Caenorhabditis elegans: one gene and its partner. The protein of the gene in region 2 interacts with the protein of the main gene of each other region in a biochemical or structural test. Each region holds a gene or a part of one and is shown on either strand. Other genes may lie near its edges.

The links. Proteins that work in one complex are often made in the same cells at the same time.
Region 1: of the proteins of dcr-1 (region 2) and ced-3, one has a biochemical effect on the other in vitro, tested with the Caenorhabditis elegans proteins (2 studies listed by BioGRID).

What each region holds. Positions count from the first base shown.
Region 1 is NC_003282.8:13,197,004-13,207,337, forward strand, and holds ced-3 (Cell death protein 3 subunit p17), read right to left. Parts: upstream 7,135-10,334; 5' UTR 7,064-7,134; coding exon 6,929-7,063; intron 6,866-6,928; coding exon 6,720-6,865; intron 6,442-6,719; coding exon 6,188-6,441; intron 5,000-6,187; coding exon 4,668-4,999; intron 3,756-4,667; coding exon 3,542-3,755; intron 3,488-3,541; coding exon 3,360-3,487; intron 3,287-3,359; exon of another isoform or gene 3,137-3,286; intron 3,006-3,136; coding exon 2,766-3,005; intron 2,290-2,765; coding exon 2,227-2,289; 3' UTR 1,258-2,226; downstream 1-1,257. Other genes in the region: C48D1.1 (Zer-1-like leucine-rich repeats region domain-containing protein), read right to left, coding at 29-271, 322-379.
Region 2 is NC_003281.10:8,076,254-8,083,835, reverse strand, and holds the start of dcr-1 (Death-promoting deoxyribonuclease), read left to right. Parts: upstream 1-3,554; 5' UTR 3,555-3,561; coding exon 3,562-3,612; intron 3,613-3,657; coding exon 3,658-3,820; intron 3,821-3,914; coding exon 3,915-4,048; intron 4,049-4,093; coding exon 4,094-4,253; intron 4,254-4,318; coding exon 4,319-4,458; intron 4,459-4,510; coding exon 4,511-4,882; intron 4,883-5,314; coding exon 5,315-5,497; intron 5,498-5,541; coding exon 5,542-5,670; intron 5,671-5,714; coding exon 5,715-5,957; intron 5,958-6,003; coding exon 6,004-6,158; intron 6,159-6,226; coding exon 6,227-6,593; intron 6,594-6,701; coding exon 6,702-6,881; intron 6,882-6,922; coding exon 6,923-6,991; intron 6,992-7,041; coding exon 7,042-7,192; intron 7,193-7,309; coding exon 7,310-7,582. Other genes in the region: K06H7.7 (uncharacterized protein), read left to right, coding at 1-50; apc-2 (Anaphase-promoting complex subunit 2), read right to left, coding at 228-422, 469-639, 684-879, 927-1,024, 1,069-1,302, 1,347-1,480, 1,571-1,709, 1,751-1,826 and 7 more. UniProt on the Caenorhabditis elegans protein: Component of the ERI/DICER complex which is involved in processing amplified double-stranded RNA (dsRNA) intermediates during small-RNA-mediated gene-silencing or RNA interference (RNAi). Involved in cleaving dsRNA in the RNAi pathway.

The DNA.
Region 1 (10,334 bases), on a different chromosome or scaffold from region 2:
AATGTATCTATTGCTCGTAATAACTTACTTCTTCTAAATATGCACCAACTTTTAGATTTAGAAAAATTTCCAATTTTCAATTCTTTCAACGAGAATTGTTTCAGTTGCCTTGCAGTGTTCTCATCCAGTGTCTGGGGGTGTAGTGTAACTTTTGTTACGTTCAGTTTATGGATGGTTTTTAAATTGAATGGTTTATCTCGATTCATTAAATATGAATAAACAATGTTACTCGATTTGGAATCAAGTTCAAATTCTCTGTTATCGTATGAACCTGTAAAAATACTTTAGTGTAAGATTGAGATAAATCTCCAAAAAACTAACCATTTTGAACGAATTCGGCAATTTTTTGGCAGGCAATGTCATGAAGAGGCTTGGTCATTGTTTGGAATAACCAGAAAATAGAGAAGTGCTATCTTACAGAACGAAAGAGAATGAAAAAACAAGAAAGGGTGAACAATCGAGGATTGCGAGCAAATAGTATGGTCCTATGAACACCTGTCTCTAATGTAGCTCTATCATTGCACCTCGTGGGAATGAGAAAGTGGGAACAGTCATGAATGTTTGAGGTCAGATAAATTTTGAGTTTACATAATATTGTTTCAAAAACTGAAATATGAAATCTGATAAAAATTTCATATATTATAACTTCTAATGACTTCTTGCACTTTGAGAATATAATATAAGGACGTACATTTAGAAAATTATATTACGGGAACAAACAATTCTGAGAATGCGTACTCGGCAACATTTTTGACGCGCAAGCTATCTCGTAGCGAAAACTACAGTAATTATTTTAAGTGACTACTGTACCGCTTGTGTCGATTTACGGTCCCCATTTTCGAAATGAGGGACTTTTTGAATAGTGACAGCAACTTCTCATTTTTCCCTTGGTTATTTCGTATTATTTTCTCATGTTTTGCTTAATTTTAATATTCCATCGACAAATAAATTATTTTAATTCATTTTGAAATTCGAGCCCGTAAATCGATACAAGAGCTACTGTAGTCATTTATAGAATTACTGTAGTTTTCGCTACGAGATATTTTGCGCGTCAAGTATGTTGCACAGTACGCATGCTCAGAATTATATGTTCCCGTAATATTTGTAATCTGGGAGGTTTGAGAAGCTTAAATTCAGCCTTTAATTTTTGTGCACATATTCTTAATCTGTAGTACTCACTAGGGAATTGTCAGAAGCTTGCATATCATATATGTGCGAAATTTTATATTAGCTTGTTTCCTTCTTTAATTGTTGATTATTTTTCACCTTTGTTTTGTTAACACCTTGTTTTCTTTTATCTATGTATACCAATCACACACACACAAACATACGGCGAGAAAAGCAACTATAATAATCTATAAATATATAATTATAATAACAAGCTATATAAATCTCAACATATATAAAACTTATTGGGTGCGCGGAGAGGAGGAATCGAAGAAAAACGAGGGAAATATAATAAACGTACAAGAGTATTTTGGAAGATAGCGGGAAATTTGAAAAAATTGAAATTTTGGAAAATGGGGTTTCAAGTAAATTTGTGTTGCTGAAAACTCGAAAAATCCATTTTCCAATATTATTTACTGGAATTTCGAAAATTTTCAAATTCCTATTAGAAAGCTCGAATGGAATGGGCTATGAGAAAGATCTTTGCTGACCAGAATCGGGATATCACGGCGAAAAAAGAATGCAATTTGAGATGATGGGCGGGAAATGATGGGGGGGACCTACAAAATTTTATACATAATTGGCCAAATGTTCCGAACTTTAAAAGGCCGGGAGGCATTCCGGCACGGGGAGAGATGGGAATGCTATTCGTTAATTCAAATATTAGATTTTTTGTGGCGAAAAAATAGGTTAAAATTAATCGAAATTGATTCCCGGCAAAAATGAATATGGTACGGTAGGTTGGTGGGGTTGGGGTGATGATCTATGAAACTATTTTGTTGATAGAAGCATAGTACATACATATATACTGGGCACAACAACTAATCAAATTCAAAACGAGTTATTAAAATTATTATGCGTTCGAGACACAAACGTCATAATTTTAGATTATCGTAGAGAAATGGAAATGTGTGAAAATGGGAAGAGAAATGATAGAATGATAAAGTGAAATGAGTATAGGATAACAATATACACATGGTTTTAAACTAATTGGGCGAAAGAGAACTGGGGGAGAAGATACAGACAATTATCAATTGGGCAATGAATCACGAGTGAATTTTAGACGGCAGAGTTTCGTGCTTCCGGCCAAAAGTAGAACTTTTTGAGCAGGCGGGATGTCATCTGAAATTTAATTTAAATTTTGGGGAAAAATCTAAAACCGATACCCTTGTTTTCAAGCCGCACAGAAAAAGAGGCGGAGCGTCGTTTTGCAAACTTGCCGCGCGCCAACCGTGTAATACTCGTGGACAACTTTGAATTAATTTTTTAAATGAGTTAACAATTTTTGGCTTAAATGCTTGATGTTGATGTATTTTCGCTATTTTTTTTTACATTTAAAAATCGATAAATTTCGTTGAAAAACTACAAATTTTCGTTTTCAGTAAAATCCAATGGCTAATAAACATTTTTTACTGGAAACCCGATAAATAGTGACTATTTCAAAATTTAACGCAAAAAAATTAGCATAAAATATTCAAAATCAATCATTTTAGCTAAAAACTAAAATTCTAGGTTGACGCGCGGCAGGCTTGCAAAAGGACGCTCTGCCTATTTTTCTGTGCCTTAAAAAGTTAGCAGATCGATTGTTGTTCAAGTACCTCTGGCATCTGTTTCAAAATATTCGATCCCTGTGATGTCTGAAATCCACAAGCGACCTTCTTATTGACTTCAGTCAGCAGCTCAACAACATCCATATCCTTTGCGTGTGTCGAGAACACTTCACAGACGGCTTGAATGAACCATGATCCACGAGCACTGTTTCTCCACGAAACATATTGAGCTGTCGTTGCGTATGCAATCAGAATGTCAGCTTGGCTCGGCTTCTTTCTCCACACTTGCTGCAAAAATTTATTAATTATCATTTAAAAATGTTTACAGGACGGGGCTTTCGCTCCAAAGAATATAAAATAATCGGAATATTTTTCGAAAAAATTGAAAAAATCAATTTTTAATTTTCGAAAAGGCGATTTTTAAATTCCCTCTAAACTGAAAACTGCGACCAATCAGCAATTCACTCCGCCCACTTTCAAACCAATCCGATGAAGTGGGCGGAGATCGACGATGCTGATTGGTTTGTCATTTTATCACAAATTTCGTAATTATATCGCAATTTTTTCGTCGGACTTTCTGGAATAAAAATCTATTTTAGATTTTTTGAAGGAATATTCTCATTCAAGAAATTAAATTGCAACCTGAACTTGCGGCCGCACACATCCAAGAAAATTGAACAATGGCCCGTCTCGATTGTCCCATCCACGACGAAGAAATGCAGGAACTCCGTCGACAGAATCCAAGACTGGGAATCCATTGTCACGACGTTCTGAAAATGAATTTATTTAAAATATTTATATTAAAATTAAAATAAAAAACGAACCGCCTCGACAAGCCTGCACAAAAACGATTTTCGGCTTATTCGCCAGACGGGGAGCATTTGCCGCGTTGAGAAGATCATATATCTCGTGTGTACTAATCGGTATATCATCAACTCCAATAATCACATTCTCTTCTCCGTGTGATAGAATCACGAGTATCGCAGAATCTCCGTGTGATTCGTGTTTGGCAAAGTCTCGAATTGTCAGGAGCATTCCCTGGAAATTAAATATCAGTTTACATTAGGAACAAGGCTGGGAAATTTTTTGGGTTTCTTTTGGTATTTTGACGAAAAATTGATTTTTTGGTTTTTGGGACCAAAAAACCAAAAAAAAAATCGAAATTCGACTTTTTTTTTGAATTTTTTGGCTTTTCGAAGATTTCAATTTTACTTTTTGGTGATTAGGAAGGTTTATTGTCCAATGGTGCAATTTTTGCGACAAAAACTACGGTACCTGGTCTCGACACGACAAATTTTTGGTCAATGCAAATGGGGTGTGCGCCTTTAAGGAGTACTGTAATTTCAAACTCTCGTTGCTGTGGATATTTTTAAAATCGATTTTTCATTCTCTTTTTCTCGATTTGTTAAAAAAAATTTTGAAAAATCTAGAAAAAATGTTATAAAACTTTTCTAAATCCTTCATGATTTTTTCAAATTTTGCAAAAATAAACAAATCGGATGAATAACTTTTGAATTTGAATTGTGACGTTGTTTTGATTTTTATTGCTTTTCCGGAGTGGTTTTTAAAGTTTTTAAAAATACATTTCATATTGAAACACCGTTTGCCAATTTTCACAAATTTTAAATTGTGCATTTTTGGATAATTTTGAAAATTCAGAAAATTGATTTCGTGCTATCAAGTTTTGTATGCGGAAAATTGTCTGAAAATTTACAAACGGTTTTTTACATCAAATATTATAGAAAAACTAAGAAAAAACACATAATGTAGCCGGAAAAAACGAAAATTTCGAAACTAGGTAAATCATTTTCGCGGAAGTTCAAAATTTTGTTTTTTGCAAAATTATACATTTTTGCATTTAACACAAATTGTCGTGTCGAGACCGGGCGCCACATTTTCGGCGCAAAAATGGCAAAAATTTCGCGTTTGGGTAATATAATTTCGCCGTACCCTTCCCGTCAGATTGTCCTTGCAAATAACCGTATAGCCCATGCATCTGAACAAATTGGTAAGATTGTCCTTGTCGGCCTTGGTACCATTCCGTGTTGGCATCTGCTCAAAGTGTTCATTATTTATGATGAGGCACATTCCACGAGGACTCGAGAAGTTTCTGTACATGGTTTTCTCGTCGAAAACACGGCTTATGGTTGGTGCATCGACAAAGTTCATATCCTCTTCATGGAATATGTATTGAGTTGGTCCAGAAGCTTTGCTGAATGAGCGATTACGACTTGAACTGTATCCGAGAGAAGAGCATCCGGTGAATGAAGAGTTGGCGGATGCTGAAATGTGTTGGTTTTAGGATCGATTTTGATACCCAAATTTCCTCTTTTTTGACGTTTCGCACATTTTAATTTCGCAATGTTTCATTCAATTATATCCTCTAGAAATTTTGATTTCCCTTTTAATTTTCTACATTCATGTGATGTAGAAAAATGCAAAAATGTATTTTAATGCATTTTTTCAATTTTCGCAGAATTTTTGATTTTTTTCAGGTGTTTCGCACATATTTTTGCTGACTTTCATTCAAGATATGCTTATTAACATCTATAATTATCAATAAAGGTAATATCTTGAAGAAATTTTGGTTTTCGCTCTAATATTCTCTACTTTTTAAGTTGCTCAACGAAAAAATAATGGGGTTAATCATGTGATGTTGAAAAATACAAAAAATGTATTTTAATACATTTTCCCCCTATTCATTTGTGCAGAAAAGTGTAAAAAAACGCATGCATTTTTTACATTATTCGACATTTTTTTACATCGACCGACATCCCATTTCACATGCTGAAGACGAGAGACGCAGAAAGATGTGTGGTATTTCTCCGCGTCTCTCGTCTTCAGCATGTGAAGTGAGCTGTCGTTCGATGTAAAAAATGTCGAAAAATGCATGCGCTTTTTTACATTTTTCTGCACACATGAATAGGGGAAAATATATAAAAAATGCATTTTTCGTCATCATATGAACAACCACATGATTTTTTCGTTGAGCAATTTCAAAAGTAGAGCATACTAGAACGAAAACCAAAATTTCTACAAGATATTCACATTAATGATAATTATATGTGTTAATAAGCATATCTTGAATGAAAAAAATCAAAAAATCTGCGAAACTTGAAAAAAGCGTTTTGGCACATGTTAGATGATTTTTTTTCAAAATGTTTAAAATTCTTTTCAAAATATCTTGAAGCGAAAACTACTGTAACTCTTTAAAAGAGTACTGTAGCGCTGGTGTCTGTTTACGGAAATAATTTATTAATTGATCAAAAATATCAAAAGAAAACACAAAAATGACAAATTAAAATTCGTTGTCACAATTCGAGCATATATTCGTTTCGAAAATCGAGCCCGTAAATCGACACTACAATAGTCATTTAAAGGGTTACTGTATTTTTCGCTACGAGATATTTTGCGCGTCAAATATGTTGAGTAATGCGCATTCTCAGAATTTAGTGTTCGCATCAACATACAAGGTTGGCTGGGAAATGCGTTGACTGGAGGAGATGAATAATTGTGTCGATCCGATGAATGAAGTGCACGCGATCGAGAACGAGATCTTGCTCTTGAGTAGATATCCTGATAAGAAGTGAATGATGACACTGAAGAGACGCTGTCACGGTGAACTCGGGTCGGTGAAGTGTAGCCGGCGGGGCTCAATGCGCGGCTCCGACGATGGCTTGCCGGTGACATTGGACACTCGAATTCGACAGCATTCGAGTCAACACTGGAAAAAAGGGATATTTGAAGGAGATGTGTGTGTGTGTGTGTGACAAGTATTTTCGGCAAATCTACAAAATGGCCTTTTGCGCCACGAAAATTAGTGTTAAAAAATAAATAATCACTCGAGCTTTCAGTAAATAAAATATATTTCACTTCAAATATTTGGGAAAGTGCATAATTTCCGATTTTCGGAGGAAAAAACCGTGCCGGTGGGTTGCAAAATTACGATCCGCCTCTTTTTCCGTGAGACCCTTGCTTTTGCGCCGAACTTTAAAAACCTACGATCTGGCGAGAGGTTCAAGAACTTCAGCAAGTCCTTCGTGTCCCGTAGAGCGAAGAGCATCATAAAACGCGTCGAACGCCACATCTCCCCGTCGTTGCACTGCTTTCACGATCTCCCGTCTCTTCTCGCGAACCGTTCCACATGACTGCAAAAATATTCTTTATATTATCAATTTTTTTTTAAAATTATTATTCGATTAAAAACTCACATTAATCATATCTCCATTATCACTATTCAACACTTGTTTTGCGATGAGAACTTCGAGAATTTCATCGACTTTTAGATGACTAGAGAACATCATAATGTTCCTCTCTAGCAAGCTCCTTCTATCTTGACGCATCATCTTCGGCTGATGGTTGACCTCTCTACTGACCCGTAGTCAGAGTACGATTTGATTTTCGATTTAGTCTGAAAATGAGTGAAATTATTGGAAAAATAGTGTTTTTTTTTAAACATTGTCCTCAAAATTCAGCTCGATTTGAGTAATTTTTATCGATTTTTTTCCTAGTTTTCGTCAAAAACTCCAACAACTGCACTGAACTACGAAAAAAAAGGTGAAAGTCAGTAAAATCGGAAAATTTTGACCCTCTTGAATTTTTTATCTTGATTTCTGGCGAATTTTGGGGTTTTTTTTTGTTAAAATTGTTTTGAATCAGTTCTCTTTTATTTTCGCAAACATAAAACACAATTTTCAATGAGAAATCGTTATTTTTAATTTGAAAACTGATTTTTAAAATGTTTGTTGTGTTTTTGTTTCTGTTTGTCAGCCTGGAAAATATTAGAAAACTGATTTTAAAAATTTTAACAGAAAAATTCACGAAAATTTTAGTAATTGAATTAAAAATGCAAGGAGAATTTAAAAGTCTATCAAACTTTTTGCGTGCCGAGACCCATTGGAATAAATCCGTGCGCCTTTAAAGAGGAATGCCAAAATCTTGTGAAATTATTACGGAAACACAAAATTCAGAGAATGCGTATTACGCATCATATTTGGCGCGCAAAATATCTCGTAGCTAGAACTACAGTAATCCTTTAAATGACTACCGTAGCGCTTGTGACGATTTACGGGTTGTCAAAATTCGAAAAAAAAAATTATTTTCAAAAATTGAGCCCGTAAATCGACACAAGCGCTACAGTAGTCATTTAAAGAATTACTGTAGTTTTCGCTACGAGATATTTTGCGCGTCAAATATGTTGCGCAGTACGCATTCTCAGAATTTTGTGATTCCTTAATACGATAATGTCGAGCCGATTTAAAAGACTTTACCATTTTTTGTAGTTTTCGGTGCTATTATGATAATTTTACGATAAATTAATACTCAAAAATCGGAATTTTAGCGGAAATATTATAAAAATAAGATGTTAGCACACGAAGAGAAAGTGCTGCGAAGAAATCATAAACATTGAGAAGATATTCTTATGGATTGTATATATTGCGTAACAATTTGGAGAAAGTTTTTGGCCGGTTTATTGCAAATTTCGCGGAAAAAAAAGTTTATGATGGGCTCGTAAGCATGCCGATGAGAAAAGAAAGTGGATTGTAGCAGCAGCAATATGAGTCACCCATCTGGACAGTTCACATTTCTAAACGATAATTGAGACGGAGCAGGTGGCATCACGGAAGAGTGTACCGAAAACAAAACCGGGACAAGTTGAGGATACCAAGGACGACAGGAAAATGATGAAATGTGGTACAAAATGAACCGGGCGTTTACCCTGAAAGCTCCTGATCTCATCTAAGATTCCAACCCCGTCATTTGCCTCCATGCACAAATATAATGCGATTTGGATTGTTTAAAGCATTGAAATTGCGACAAAGAGCTATAAAATCGAAAAGAGCATACCAAATGAGATACACACTGCTTTCCTAAGTGGGTTTCGAAGAACACCGCCAAAGAGGTGATGGAGTGGTGGGGCTAAGGAAGAAGGTGCCGGAGAGGTCAAACATGTGGAAATCTTAGGATTGTTTTTGTTTCACATTAATTGCCCTCGTAAATTTATTTTTGGATTTGAGTATCGAAAATCTATGAGCCATGAACACGGAGCGGTGAGGTAAAGGTAAAGGTTTAAAAGTAGTTTTATTAGTAAACTAATCGTTTTTCACATAAACAGTGGTTTTTTTAAACGAAACAATGCAAAAACCAAGGTTAAATATTATAAAATCGACTTCGAGAATCTCAGAATCTTTCTGGCAACAATAAATCGGCGAGCCTTTTCTTCAATTGATGTAATAATTGCTTAGCAACACGTTCAACAAAAAGAACAAAGAAAAAAACGACAAAAGATGACTGCAAGATAACGGAAAAGGAGGCACAACACACGAATGTTCGAACGTTTGTTTTTGGCGGCTGAGTGTGGAGGTCAATGGAGCGCGTTTGCTCTCACAATTCTTTGAGACGCTGCCGCTCGAGGATGAGCATGAAAAAGTGATAATAGGGATATTAATTCGACAATAAGACGGAAAAATCTAGAAAACTGGACTTTTTTTCTGAAACAAGATTAATTGTGCTAAAACAGTCAAATTTCCTCAGAAATACACTTAATTTATTAATTTATCACCTTATTTCAGATCTCATTTAAGGAAAAATAGTTTTTCGAACAGGGAAGTTAAAAAATCCAGTTTCTATCAAAAAGTCGATATTTTCACTACTCTGGGAAGAAAGCGAAGATTACGAAGAGGATAACCGTAAATTATTGATATTTTATCAAATTTTCAATCATTTAGGCGTAAAAAAGTGAAATTCTGTTGAATAATCGCTTAGAGCTATTGATAAAGCTCAAAAAGAAAGAAAATCGATAAAATTAAAAAGTTTGCAATTCAAATTTGAATTCGTAAATGTCGTGAAGTTCGATGCCTTGGTTGTACGGGTTACTGTAGAAACATCACATTTCACGCAGAATCGCAGTGAGCCAAATTTTAAAAATTGAATTAAAATAAACGTTTTAAATTTTTAATGCAAAGCTTCAATGTTTCTTAAAATTTTAATTTTAATTCTTGTTGATAATATAAATAACACTAATTAGTAACATAAGTAACGCAAGAGCCAAAGAAAACTTTTTATTGAAAATTCTGTAGAACAGAACTTAATAATTTCAAAAAATCAAATATCGCGTCCATCAATCCCACACATCTAAGCACGTGGAAGGAACAGATACTCGCCGTTGCTACGTGGAAGATAGTACAAGTTCTCCCACACTCCTTTTCCATGTTCAGCGATGAAATATCCATGTCCCGAGATGAGCTTCTTCGCACGGTTCTCACGGCACTTTCCAAAATTGAATCTGAAACAAAATCCTGACTATTTATCAACAAACGATTTCGAGATAAGCTGACTCAAGTTTTTCACCGACGCCTGCGTACGTTGCAGTGTCCACGAACAAAAAGTTTAGCAAGTTGTGAAGTGTGCCGTCATAAAGTGCTCTGTTGTTTGAGTGTTAGTTCAAACTGAAAACAAAATATATATAGAAAGAGACGTCTAGAAATTAAAAGCTTACCTCATTTACAGCGGCAGACATTGAAATCGTTGCAAGGAGAAGAAGAAGAAGAAGTCTCATCTTGTCACGAGCAATTTCGAATCTCACAATCAACACTAAAGTTAAGACTGACCATCCTT
Region 2 (7,582 bases):
TGAATAAACGACGATGCTTCATCTTTGCACAAATTTTTGATCTCGAATAGTTTTTGTTTAAATTTTTTTATTTCTTTGGATCCTCTTGAATCTCAAAATCGACTGTGCCATTTTTTGTTGTTTTTTAATAAATTGTTTTGAAATATTTTATAGAATTAGATCATCATAAATACCAGCTTTGTTTAAATTTAGAAAAAAAAAATTTCAAGATTATAAAATGAAAGAAGTTATTCGCCGTCTTTCTTTTCCTGAATGATACGATATGACCCATTAATGCAGGTTAGCAGTCCCAGCGCAACTTTTCTTTGCAAAAACGCGGAAACATGATCAAGAGTGGGTCCTGCAGAAGTTGGAGAACCGAACATACGGTAGACACGATGCATCCGTTCCGCTTTCACTTCTCCGTTAGGTGCATGATTGGCCTGAAAATTGATTTTTTTATTCTTATATATTTTAAGTTTTACTTACAATGAAATTTCTAGTATATCCCCAATATTGTTCTAAAGCATCAACCATATCAGAATTCTCTTCCGGTTCCACATCTTCATCGTCTTCAAGGTCCGGTGTGCCTGGTCGAACGATGGAAATTCCACTTGGATTCCGGGTCAATGTCCACGTGTCGCTACTGATAATGGGATTCTGAGAATGAAATTATATGATAACTTAATAATTTTCTATTTTACCATGCAAATAAATCCTTGTTTAACCAGCCATTCCAATCGTTTTCTTGTCACAACCACTGACATTCCCATTTTCTCGACTACTTCAGCAGTTGTCCATGTTTCTTTTTCGAGGAACAAGAAGAGGAGAAGAGCGTACATATTTGGAATTGTTCGATCTACTTCAACTCCATCGATATTGATAGAAACCTCTACACATCTTTAAAAAGTTAAAATTCACATGATAATTCAACAAATGAAACTTACCCAACACTTCTTAACCATTCTAATTTTCTGTCGCGCTTCACGTCCAGATAAGTTTCTTGGTAAACGTCCATCGCAGCTTGCAATGGTTGAGGCATTAACTGAAATAATTTTTCATATTGTAACATTGTTGCAATATTCTCACCGCTTCTGTTTTTTCAGTTTCCAACTTTGGCCAATAATGACTTGAGATGATACATGCAGAAATTGGAATAATCGGAACATCATAATTTCCAGCGCTTCTTTCACTCATGTCTTCAAACTTTTTATCAATATCGAGACTATGAATAACGTCCCGAAGCATCACTTCACAATGTTGTAGCTCACTGTATTGGAATCTCAGTTTCAGCAAGTCCAGGTATCGCTTCTCGAATTCAGGCTAAAAAAGATATAGACTTCGTTGAAAACGAAAAGAGTACTTACATCTTTGTTGTCCGAACTCGAAAGTCGTTCAGCAAGAAGATTTCTATATTCTTTGACAAAAAGTTCTTTGGATCCATATACAGAGACAAGCATATTGAAGACGTCAACACCTTGATGCCCGGGTGCTCCATCACCTGAAAATAAGAATAACATTTTAATAACTTTTACTGAATTTGAGAGAATTGTCATTGAACTTCCGTGAGTTTTTATCTGTAATCACTAACCAACAGTAGCATCAGTTGGGTTAGGCATCCAGTTTTCCCATCCAAGCGTCTCCATATTTTCTGGCAAAAAATCATCGTTGACACCTTTCAGTTCTTCCTCGTCCATCATTGCCGATCGAACAGTTTTAGACTGTAAGCTCTTGAAAAGTGTTAGAAAACGTTTTTTTAGTACACGCTTACCATATCTTTTTCCAGTTCATTTTTCTTATTAGAAGTAATGTAACTGATAATTTGTTGTACAGTGTCAGGTCGCCTTCTGAAAAAAAAATTAAATATAATTAAACAATCAGGAAATAGCTTACTTCAAATATTCTCTGATAACTCCACAAACTTTATGCATAACCACGCAACTATTGTCCATTTCACGAAGAGATTCTACGCACGCCGCATAAGCTTTCAAAATGTCTTTTGTATCAACCGCTGAAATTTTAAATATTTAAGTTTTAAATAATTCCCCTCACCAACTTACATGCAACAAGAAGTTTTGTGTTAACTTGATCTATCAAGTAATTTGTGAAATCGACTCTCCCATGATTATTAGTTCTCAAAAGGCAATATTTCATTGTGATGAGACTGCGAAATTTTACTGGAAAATCTACGGCGATCATTTCATATGCCTACAAAAAATATTTTTTAGGTTCCAAATTTTTTTAAAAACTCACGTTTTTGGAAAGCATTTGGAAGACATCTTTGTAAATAGTGTCACTAATTAAATGGAATGCGTCTTGCATTGTTACTTGATCTGACCAAATCCTCAGACTCTCCATAATTTCTTGAAACATTGAACATCTCAGCTCATTGTCAAAAGCCGCTTTCTCGTGCATCACCAATGTTGCAGCAAGCTCGCGAATATACACTGAAAGTGCTGCGTTCATGTGACGATTTGCATTGAGAATTCCAGTTTTTCTGAAAATGTTATATATAATTTAGGAAGTCAGGCTTTACCCACAATTCATTGACAAAAGGATTAAAATCTTGAACATATTGCCCGCATATTTCTTTTTTTTCTGGTGTCCACAGCTCTTGGTTTAAATCGATTCCATGATCGATTTTTCGATGAGGAAGGTACATGGCAACTGAAAAATGTTATTGGAAACTGGGGCTGAATGAAAAAAAAATACGTCTGTAATTAGTGAAGTGCGACATAAAATAAGGTCTGAGAACTTTGATAACAACTTTCTGCATGGCCAGTGGGAAGATGAGCTCTGCAGCATCGCGAATATCCGGTTGACCAACGCCTTTTTCCAATGCAAACTGAAATTATTTTCCATTAGCTTGTTACACCTCTATTTTCTGACCGTTTTCCATAAGGAGAAGATTTTTCAGAGCATTTAATTGAGAATAAGGCTAATTTGTTCTTGATTGGATTTAAAAATTTTAAAACTCACCATCAGGCATTCTTGCTGTACTCGTTGCAGAACTGTCGTCATATCATAAACTTTTTCAATATTTTTTGCGTATTTTGCGTGATATATCAGAGCATCCCAGACTTCTTTTTTCTTTGAGACGCAAAATTGTCTGAAAACTGTCTTTACGGAACTCATTTTCAAAAATTCCATACCTGTACTTCATCGCAGCCTCTTTCGAAGTAGTCATTCTGTCAAAAATGGACATTTTCGAAATGGTTAAAATAATTTCAGCAAGGATACGAGAAGAGAACGATGACAAATGTGTGAGAAACTGTATATATTAAAGGATCATGCTTAAAACGAAGGTTGGGGTCTCGGAAACTACATTTCCACAAAAACCGCGAATAAATGTTCCTTTAAAAATTATACGAAAAAATGTTTGTTTCTTTTTTTTCACACGATTTTTCAGAGTATTTTCTTTCAAATTTCTGTCGATTCCACTTTTCCTCCGTCTTTTGAATGTTCCCATGAAAGAGACATAGACATTGGTTCAGTAGAGCGCATACTACGGGGCAGTCAGCGGCAATTATTTTTTATTGTAATTTTTGAACATTATCAATTTTCCCTGTTTTCAGACCAATAATGGTCAGGGTAAGAGCTGATTTACAATGTTTTAACCCCAGGGACTACCAGGTAATTTTTAAGTAGCAAAATAAATTAAAAATAATCGATTTTCAGGTGGAACTTTTGGATAAAGCGACAAAAAAGAACACAATCGTCCAACTAGGCACTGGTTCAGGAAAAACTTTCATTGCAGTTCTACTGCTGAAAGAATATGGAGTTCAATTGTTTGCACCATTGGATCAGGGTGGAAAACGAGCGTTTTTTGTTGTAGAGAAAGGTAATTTCGTCTATTAAAAATAAGCCAGCTGGCCAGTAAAGTGAATAATTGACAAAAAAAAACAAGATTTATTCTAAAACATCATTTTTTCCAGTAAACCTCGTTGAACAACAAGCTATCCACATCGAAGTTCACACAAGTTTCAAAGTTGGTCAGGTCCACGGACAGACAAGTAGTGGTTTATGGGACAGCAAAGAACAATGTGATCAGTTCATGAAGAGGCACCATGTGAGTGAGAATACGAAGCTGAACTATCGAGCATATATATTTCAGGTTGTTGTGATCACAGCTCAATGCCTTCTTGATTTGATTCGACATGCGTACTTGAAAATTGAAGACATGTGTGTTCTGATCTTTGACGAATGTCATCATGCTCTCGGTTCTCAACATCCATACAGAAGCATCATGGTCGATTATAAGTTATTGAAAAAGGGTAAGTATTGAGGAATTAATGGTGAAACTTCGAATTCGCTTCAAAATACGGAAATATTTTTTCAGACAAACCCGTCCCACGTGTATTAGGACTCACAGCCAGTCTTATCAAAGCGAAAGTTGCGCCGGAAAAACTAATGGAACAGTTAAAAAAGTTGGAATCTGCGATGGACAGTGTTATAGAGACAGCTAGTGATTTAGTCTCGGTATGATTTAAAAAAGACAAACAAAGACTTGTTTCCAATAAAACTAATTTAGCTCTCGAAATACGGTGCGAAACCCTATGAAGTTGTGATCATCTGCAAAGACTTTGAAATTGGGTGCCTGGGTATTCCGAATTTCGACACAGTTATAGAAATATTTGATGAAACTGTAGCCTTTGTGAACACCACAACAGAATTTCATCCAGATCTAGATTTGGATCCTCGTAGACCGATTAAAGATTCTCTCAAGACGACGCGAGCTGTTTTTCGTCAACTGGGACCTTGGGCGGCATGGCGAACGGCTCAAGTTTGGGAGAAAGAGTTGGGAAAAATTATAAAATCTCAAGTGCTACCGGATAAGACGTTGCGGTTTTTGAATATGGCAAAAACATCTATGATTACGATTAAAAGATTGTTGGAACCGGAGGTGCGTACCTAACAAGAGACGTTGGAAAATGGTACCTCGAAGTATCGTTATGGTATAGCAATTTTTCGACAAAAAAGTGTTATCATTCGAAAAAGTTCGTAACTCCCTACTCACCAAGAGAGCTACAAATCTTGAGCAAGATTTCAAATTGTAAGATTGTAGCTCAATTCATGGCTTTTTGAGAATTATGGGCTGAAGCTTGAATGCTATATGTTTTTTAAAAACAATTTACGAATATTTGGAAACACTTTTTTTAAGTTGAAAGTTTTTTCAAAAGGGGTGAAACTGCTCGGACGCAGCTGAATTTTTGGAATGATCCTCAATAACACTTTTAATCTAAAATTACTATTCTATATTGAACTCCAAGTTAGCATTTTCCAACTTCCAGTGTAAGCAATCAACTATTAATTACACCAATTTTTTCCAATTTAGATGAAGAAAATCAAAAGTATTGAAGCTCTCCGTCCATATGTTCCTCAACGTGTCATACGTCTTTTCGAAATCCTAGAAACTTTCAACCCCGAATTTCAAAAAGAACGAATGAAGTTAGAAAAAGCAGAACATTTATCAGCCATTATTTTTGTCGATCAACGGTACATTGCATATTCGTTACTTGTAGGTTTATATGAATGTTACGGTAATATATTGTAAATTTTCAGCTTATGATGCGTCATATTAAATCATGGGAGCCTAAGTTCAAGTTTGTGAACCCGGATTACGTCGTTGGAGCCAGCGGACGAAATTTGGCGAGTTCGGATAGTCAAGGATTACATAAACGACAAACTGAAGTAAATTTATGTTTAAATTATCATTGTCTAAATATAATTTTTAGGTTCTTCGCCGTTTCCATCGAAATGAAATCAATTGTCTTATCGCTACATCAGTGCTTGAAGAAGGTGTAGATGTTAAACAATGTAATCTTGTGATTAAATTTGATCGACCACTTGACATGAGATCATACGTTCAGTCAAAGGGAAGAGCTCGGCGAGCTGGATCAAGATATGTTATCACTGTTGAGGAGAAAGATACTGCGGCGTGTGATAGTGATTTGAAAGATTTCCAGCAAATAGAAAAAGTAATATTGGAATCTTCAGTTCAATTGTTTAAAAAATGATATTAAGATTCTTCTTAGCCGCCATCGTACAGTCAACAATCCTATTGAAGATGATTCGGATAGATTTGAAGAATTTGATGTTGATTCTCAAATGGAACCATATGTTGTTGAAAAAACTGGTGCAACATTGAAAATGTCAACTGCTATCGCATTAATTAATAGGTATATTAATAATTTCACTTTAGAAGTTTAATCCAACAGCTAAATACAAACAATTGGTAATCTTCCAGATATTGTTCGAAGCTTCCTTCCGATATCTTCACTCGTCTTGTTCCACACAATCAAATCATTCCAATTGAAGAGAATGGAGTGACCAAATACTGTGCAGAGCTTCTTCTTCCAATTAACTCACCGATCAAACATGCAATTGTGCTCAAAAATCCAATGCCAAATAAGAAGACTGCACAGATGGCAGTTGCACTTGAAGCATGTCGACAATTACATTTAGAAGGAGAACTCGATGATAATTTACTTCCAAAAGGAAGAGAGTCGATTGCCAAATTATTAGAACATATTGATGAGGAGCCGGATGAGTATGCACCTGGAATTGCTGCTAAAGTTGGATCATCAAAACGAAAGCAATTATATGACAAAAAGGTATTTTCGTATATTCGATTTTCTAAAAGTCGCTCAATTCAATGAAAATAATTTAATTATCGGAAAAGTAATAGTGATAATTAAGTAAAAATAATTAAAAATTTACAGATTGCTCGTGCTCTCAATGAATCCTTCGTGGAAGCAGATAAGGAATGTTTCATCTATGCATTCGAATTGGAACGTTTCCGGGAAGCCGAACTTACGTTGAACCCGAAAAGACGAAAGTTTGAAGATCCATTTAATTATGAATATTGCTTCGGATTTCTGAGCGCAAAAGAGATACCAAAGGTACATTTTTCTGTTTGATAGCTAATAATATTTATTTGTAGATCCCACCATTCCCAGTGTTTCTTCGACAAGGAAATATGAAAGTCCGATTGATTGTCGCACCGAAAAAGGTTTTCACCTGAAAATGAGCTTATCTATTTTTACAATTCCTAAATTTCAGACTACCGTAACCGCTGCTCAGCTTCAAGAGATTCAACTGTTCCATAATTATTTGTTCACACAAGTTCTTCAAATGTGTAAAACGGGAAATTTGGAATTCGATGGAACATCAAATGCACCATTGAACACGTTGATTGTTCCACTTAACAAGCGTATGTTCTACGTCATATTCAGATATTTCTTCAAAATTAAAGCATGTCTACTAAATTATAAGGATAATTTTTTCAAAAAAAAAAATTCTACAGTATAAAAATGAACTCAAGTTATAGGAAAAGATGATATGTCCTACACAATCAACATGAAATATGTATCGGAAGTAGTTGCAAACATGGAAAATATGCCACGTATTCCAAAAGATGAAGTTCGTCGTCAATACAAATTCAACGCTGAAGATTATAAGGATGCGATCGTAATGCCGTGGTATCGAAATCTGGAACAGCCTGTATTCTACTATGTTGCTGAAATTCTACCAGAATGGAGGCCGTCGTCGAAATTCCCGGATACGCACTTCGAAACGTTTAACGAGTATTTCATCAAGAAAT